Linked DNA regions of Xenopus tropicalis. The protein of the gene in region 1 interacts with the protein of each later gene in a biochemical or structural test. Links are inferred from orthologs where the notes say so. Each region holds a gene or a part of one and is shown on either strand. Other genes may lie near its edges.

Region 1 (3,500 bases):
TATTCTGTAGGGATGATAAGAGCAGCCTTGTCAATACAGTAGACAGTCTTATGGCAGTGTATGCTGATAACTACCAACTGTGCAGTTTCTCACATCATGTGGAATAGGGGTTTTCGAGTATAGAAAGGTTGATTGGTAGGACCAGGGTAGACCAAGTTTATAGACACCAAGCACTGATACATAAGTGGGAATGTGTGTGTGTTGAGTTAGGATTTGATGGTGGCAGCAAATGAGCTGCAAAGAACCTACAAACGGAGAAACATCATATTTATTTTGTACAGAACTAAAGCAGGAATTCGCAAGCAGCCAAACTACAATGTTTAGCATCTTTAGCCAGTCTATAGACACCTAAAGCATTCTAGATTAATTATGAGAAAAAGATAATCAGTCATAACTGACAACACTTTCAGTAACTCAAGAGTGCATTACTAAGCTTGCTGCTGCCCAACATTTGGAGTGGTGGTCAATCTGCTGGGTCCAGACTAACTAAACAAGCCGACTTCTGCTGTCCATGTGCAGCAGGTCAAAAATTGAAAGCCAGACCATTTAGTGTGAATGAGTGGGGGACCCAAAGGTTTACTGTAATATGTGTTTGCAGTTATGCCATGGCCAGACTTAAGACTGACAGCAGCAATTGTGCTTTATAGAGTAACATCTGTCACAAAAGGAAAATCTCTCAAAGAAATTCAATCTATTTGGTATGCAGTATATTAGAAAAATTGCTAAGGCCAGTGCCACACACAGCACTTTTATCTGCTTCCAGCCTCCTGGTCTTGTGTGTGTACCGACACGCATGAATTCAACATGTATTCTTATTCAAAAGCCAGGAAGGCTGGAAAAGGGCACAAACCCTCAGTGGTGGGATGGTTATGCCATCACTGTCCGTTTCTGTACATTTAAATCTGTTCCTTTAAATGTGCACATCTTTATAGCTGAAGTTTTCATTCTTTTGAATAGACAACAATTCTATTGTGAGATATTGGGACTTCCCATGTGGCTAACTGCTGTCTCACCCCAATTCAACAGCTGAGAGTATGGTACACTAAGAGTCCCCTTTAAATCAATGCCAAGAGGCTGACAGCGGCTTTGCTATCAAACACAGCTGCTGATGTTAAGCACACAGACTGGGCACGCATGCTGAAGACACCTTCTGCATTATTAATGAAAGCACGCGCCGCTCTGCAGCACAAGACAAGGGGGGATCAATTGTCTTCCTATTACACCTCCTACCATCCTCACCAGACTAATGTGTCCTCCACTGGCCAATGGTGATTATAAAAAAAAAAAAAGAAGCTTGATTGATCCAGGAATAACTTACATGTATTTAACATCAGTGCTGTGTTTGTAGCGAATAACTGAAGGGGGTGTGGATGAGAACAGAAAATAATAAAGGTCCCTGCAGACACATCTACATGCTACAGGTAGGGTTATATTAAAATAGATTGCCCTGTATCACAAGCACACAACACACTGTTATTCTTCGGCAGAAGCCTTATTATGAATCATAAATAACAACCTGATACTGGGGCTGAGATTGCCAACACAACCTGGAGAAAGAATCTAAAAAAAACTTCTTGCTATCATCTTTTGTTTTAGTTGAACACTTTATAAAGGGATTTTAGTCACATTATATTGTCTGAAAATAAATAGGAAATGCAGTAAACCATTGCTTAAGTTCTCCTGTGTCTATGTACAGCATCCCTATGCTGCCACCCAACTTCAATATACAGGTTTCCAGGTGATCTGGCCAGCATCCTCATCTGTGTCCCAATCAAAACCTTTCACAGTTCTGCCAAAGGATGAGCAGCACCCAAGTGCATATTCACTATTACCCCAAGTGTGATAACAGGACATATTAGGTTAAATTTGAAACACTACACTGTGTTCTCTAGCTGAATCTCATCCTTGTTCATGTTAATATTTATATATAAGGATGGGGGCTTCATGCCTTATATATGGCAACAGAATCAGCAACATAGTGTTGTTCAGTATGGCTGCCACATTTGAACTACTGTTAAAACTGTTTTACCCTGTATTTCAAGAGCAGACACTGCTGTCCTTGGTGCCGATATTCTTAGGGCCTCCTTACCTGTGTGTGAGCGTAGGTGGCGTTTGAGTGCAGTGTGGCTGGGGAAAGTCCTGTTGCACTCACTGCAGATATAGCTTCTCACTCCTGCATGGACCTCCATGTGCTGCTGCAGGGCAGTCTGAGTCTGAAAGCGCTTTCCACAAAGTAGACAGAACACAGCCATGTCTGAGCCTGAAATGCACAAGGAAAAAAAACATTATGGCTGTGTCTGCTTAGGTCCCTCCATTGTCCATGTCCAAGTTATATATTCAAATACATCTATACAGCCAAAGCAGCTTGCATGACATTTCTTACTGATTAAACCAGATTTCTTCTCTCTGCTCAGTAAAACTAAGCAAGTATTATACATTTTTGGGATACAAAAAAAAAATAGATAGAGAGCTGAGGATTTTCTATACAAATAAATGTCAGAAGGTATGGGAGGGGGGTATCAGGAGTTTCTCTGCTAAAATACCCCAGCAAAGAAATGCTACATATCCCATAAGCCATAGGGGAGTAATAGGAATGTGGCTGGTTTTAGTGATGTCTGGGGCTTTTGATTATAACAGAAAATTTATTTTTGACTACAAGGCCCACCTAGTGGCAAATGGTAAAATTATTAGTTAATATGTTATGATTTGGGTGAATAGGCATTTGGGTATAAGGCATAGTCATATCGCAACCCTCCCGCCCCCCCACTGCTTACTGTGGTACTCGCCTAAGATCAATTGTACAATGGATAGTCAATGGATAGTCAAAAGCTCACAGCCATGTTTTCAAGTGACAATGACTTTTCAGCTTATTGCCATTGCAGGCAACAGAAGGGGACTCATTCACCTTGTGGGTTTTTGCCCTTCATATGTGGAAGGCATGCACATAATGTCCCCTTTTGGCACACTTCTTTATATGGCAAAAGGCACACCAACACAGTGTTCAAGGAAAATATTTTCAAATGAATAATAATAATGATAATAATAACACGTAATTATAATAAAGAGTAAGAGAATGCCACATCAGCAAGATAGCATTTTGAAAATTTGGTATCATGCAGAGTGACCCAAGACAAACTGCACACATTTAATAGACTAATAAAAGCCCTGTTCTCTTGTAACACTTGTACAATAAGTCATTTTTCAATTATTTTATGATAATATTCTTCTCTATTTGCCAAGAAATGGCACAATGGTGCAATCAGATTTAACAGAGAATCACAATAATTAAAGAAAATACTCTGTACAGTAGCACTAAGTCTTAACGTCTGGGAATAATGATGATAGCCTGCTGTTTATTATTACAGATAACTGTACCTCATTTACTTTATTATAGACTAAGCAGCAATAATGGTAAAATACAGGTAAATGGAGAAGCAAATAATGAAATGTTGTGTATTTATTATTTATACATAGTTATAAGAGAACACAAGAAAACTATA
Region 2 (3,957 bases), on another chromosome or scaffold:
TTTTTAGCCTGCATTTTGCATCTGCTCTCTTCTGCAGCTCTGTATAGCTACACCAACATGAACAGATCCCAACTGAGTGAGGCTACTAAGAATAAAAATTGGCATAAAAGCAGGCATTTTCAGGCCAATCTCCCTTGCACTGTGTCTATCGGTACTACAACTATACAGAGCTGCGGAAGTGAGCTGATGCACTTCTCTCCAGTTGCCTACAAAATGCAGGCTGATATTAAATCCAGATGGGCAACTCACTGCCCATAGGTGTATGGGTGGTTTTTGTGGCTGAGGAGGATAATTAAAGATATTTTCCACAAAGATTCCTTCATAGTATCCCAGGGGCAAATTCCACATATAATACCTCATTACAAAAGGTAGGATAAAGGCAATTTCATGTAAAATACCTCCCAGAATTCCTTGTAGGATAAATGTAGTGCCTAGTTGAGGTATAATATACTAAAACACAAGGCAGGATAATTATAGTGTGTCGATTTCAGGTATAAAATACCGGAACACATGGCAAAATAACTATACAGTGCCGGTTTCAGGTACTACATGCCGGAACACACGGCAGGATAACTATACAGTGCTGGGTTTCAGGTACAATGTGCTGGGTCTCAGGTACAATGTGCCGGAACACATGGCAATATAACTATACAGTGCCGGTTTTGGGTACAATATGCCAGAACACACGGCAGGATAACTATACAGTGCCGGTTTCAGGTACAATGTGCCGGAACACACGGCAGGATAACTATACAGTGCCGGTTTCAGGTACAATGTGCTGGGTTTCAGGTACAATATGCCGGAAAACATGGCAAAATAACTATACAGTGCCGGTTTCAGATACAATGTGCCGGGTTTCAGGTACAATGTGCCAGAACACACGGCAGGATAACTATACAGTGCAGGTTTCAGGTACAATATGCCGGAACACACAGAAGAATAACTATACAGTGCCGGTTTCAGGTACAATGTGCTGGAACACATATAGATTGTAAGCTCTACGGGGCAGGGACCTCCATCCTCTTGTGTCTTTGACTCTTAACTTATTGCAACTGTATCTTGTATTTATTTGTGCTTATTGTAATACTTTGTATTTATCTATTTTAATAACCCTGTTTATATTAATGTATTCTACTGTACAGTGCTGCGTACATAAGTAGCGCTTTTTAAATAAAGTTATACATTATACATACATGGCAAGATAACTATACAGTACCAGTTTCGGGTACAATGTGCCGGAACACACGGCAGGATAACTATACAGTGCCGGTTTCAGGTACAATGTGCTGGGTTTCATGTACAATATGCTGGAACACATGGCAAAATAACTATACAGTGCCGGTTTCAGATACAATGTGCCGGAACACACGGCAAGAAAACTATACAGTGCCGGTTTCAGGTTCAATGTGCTGGGTTTCAGGTACAATATGCTGGAACATATGGCAAAATAACTATACAGTGCCGGTTTCAGGTACAATGTGCCGGAACACATGGCAGGATAACTATACAGTACTGGTTTCGGGTACAATGTGCCGGAACATACGTCAGGATAACTATACAGTGCCGGTTTCAGGTACAATGTGCTGGAACACACATCAGGATAACTATACAGTGCCGGTTTCAGGTACAATATGCCGGAACACACGTCAGGATAACTATACAGTGCCGGTTTCAGGTACAATGTGCTGGAACACACATCAGGATAATTATACAGTGCCAGTTTCAGGTACAATATGTGGGAACACACGGCAGGATAACTATACAGTACCGGTTTCAGGTACAATATGAGGGAACACACGTCAGGATAACTATACAGTGCCGGTTTCAGGTACAATATGTGGGAACACTTGACCAATATTCAACTGTGCCAGTTCCATGTATAATACCCCACAATGCACTGCAGGATATAATGGCAAATTCTTACATAATAACCCTAGAACACATGGCAGGACACATTCAGCACCAAGGTCATGTATAAAACCTCTATCCAGTTGGTTGATTTAGAGAGGCTTAGTTTTGTTTAACATGAGCCCATGCCACTGCCCAAATCAGTGCATTAGTGGCACAGCCCTGCTAGCCATATTGGCAAACACAAATAAGAGGCACACCTACCCCTTGGCGAGGCAACGATGTGGTTTCCTACTGTAAACACTCTTTTATCTTCATACTGGAAACTTTCCCCAGCCGGTGCAAAGTCGCTTGTGGCTTTACTGAAAACTTCATTCTGATGCGCCCCTATCACCGCTCCATAGACAAACACATAGGAGACTGCAAAACAAAACGGGAGCCCATTACACAAGCTCTAATGGGAATTATGGCATTGCCATTTTCTGCTGTTATGTAAATATCCCCTCAGTAAATACATTGCACTACGAGAAGTGATGCCACCTCCCTAGAATAAACGTGCGCAGCTGCATTTCTGCGAGCGGTACGAGAGCAGCCATTTATAGGATGGGATTAGCTAAAAATAGGGAGCAGTCATTGAGCCTTTGGGTTCAACGCGTAAAGTGGGGAGAGAATGTCAGGGAAAGAATATGGCTTACCTTGCAGGAGAAGCAGCAGAGCAAGTTTCATGAAGTTCATGTTCAGTTAGGAGAAGCGCAGGGGGCGAGTGAATGAGAGACACAGGCGGGACAGAGACGGGAGAGAGCAGAGCGCTCGGTAGGGGCCATGCAGCTGAGTGAGTCGGCCCGCACACTGAATGGACGCGCTGTGGGACTGGCTGCGGGGAGGCACAGTAGGGCGGCATATGCTTTGCTTAAAATATGGGCGGCCACTCCCTTCCTTGACTAAGAACTTACTCACGGCACCATCATCGTGTGTAGGCTTTAAAGCCGCCGCTGGGGGTAGAACCAACAAACCTGATTCTCTAAATAACTTTTCCTTGCGGTACTCGGCGGTGATGCGAGTAAAAGTTCGACCGGACTTCCATTGTAAACAAAACTGTACGGGGTACAAAGGTGTATTTTTGTTTAATACGTTAAAGAATGATTTCTAATTCGGATTAATTCTGAAGGAAGACATGGGTTGGGTGCTATTTTCATGCCTGGGCTGGATCCTTGGCTGTGTTGGTGTCTGGGGGGGAAGTTGTGGTCGGGTTTCGGGTATGATGCCCCATTCTACATGTGTAACTAAACATTTCCTACAGGTTCATCAGTCTGTATTGCTCATTAAATGTGACTAATATGTTTCTAAATATAAATGCTCTATTTATTCTGAGCCGCCCACTTCTGCATGCCAAAAGTGTCAAAGGTACGCCAAGAAAAATGTTTATCCAGAAACCTGTTATCCAGAAAGCTCCAATTTACAGGAACACCATCTCTTATAGAGTCTCTTATATAGAAAATTATGTACTGTTGTAAAACATAGGGACATTATAAGTCACTGAGGAGTTTCATGACCATATAAAGGCCGAAAGCTTTTATACAGGTCAAGGAACTCCAAGGTGACATCTAATATCCAGGGTCGGACTGGGCCGAGAAAAATCCGGGTGGGCCCCTGCTCTAGTGGGCCCTGGCGGCCCAGACCTGACCCTTTGCCGACGCTCCCCCTGCCTGACAGCTCCTCCCCTGATGCGTTAAATTTACACGCTCGGGGGAGGACGTCGGGTGGGGGGCCCTGCGAGAGGGGTTAGGGGGGCACCTGCAGGGCCCCTGGGGAGGGAGACCCGTTGGGCCCTTCACCCCCAGTCCGACCCTGCTAATATCTTCCTATTTTACAACAGGGAGTACATTATTATAATACAAAGGTTTCAGTGAGTCGTGACAGAAATTACATCCCTAAGCACTAATTATAACTAAAAGCAATAATCGTTTATAAGGATATGAGTAACAGGATATGTGTGGCTCTTGTGTATTATAAGCACATAAGTCTAATTTAAATTATTTGCTTTTTCCTCTGTAATAAAACAGTACCTTGTAACTAAGTAGTTTGGATTCCCCTGCAAAAAAATCTTCT

Evidence for each region. The genes of interacting proteins can lie anywhere in the genome.
Region 2: the proteins of zbtb16 (region 1) and hbegf form a complex in vitro, tested with the Homo sapiens proteins (2 studies listed by BioGRID). The link is inferred for Xenopus tropicalis from reciprocal best matches to the Homo sapiens genes ZBTB16 and HBEGF.

The regions. Positions count from the first base shown.
Region 1 is NC_030683.2:85,590,315-85,593,814, reverse strand, and holds part of zbtb16 (zinc finger and BTB domain-containing protein 16), read right to left. Parts: intron 2,261-3,500; coding exon 2,090-2,260; intron 1-2,089. UniProt on the Homo sapiens protein: Acts as a transcriptional repressor. Transcriptional repression may be mediated through recruitment of histone deacetylases to target promoters. May play a role in myeloid maturation and in the development and/or maintenance of other differentiated tissues.
Region 2 is NC_030679.2:31,763,987-31,767,943, reverse strand, and holds the start of hbegf (proheparin-binding EGF-like growth factor), read right to left. Parts: upstream 2,801-3,957; 5' UTR 2,584-2,800; coding exon 2,544-2,583; intron 2,269-2,543; coding exon 2,113-2,268; intron 1-2,112. UniProt on the Homo sapiens protein: Growth factor that mediates its effects via EGFR, ERBB2 and ERBB4. Required for normal cardiac valve formation and normal heart function. Promotes smooth muscle cell proliferation. May be involved in macrophage-mediated cellular proliferation.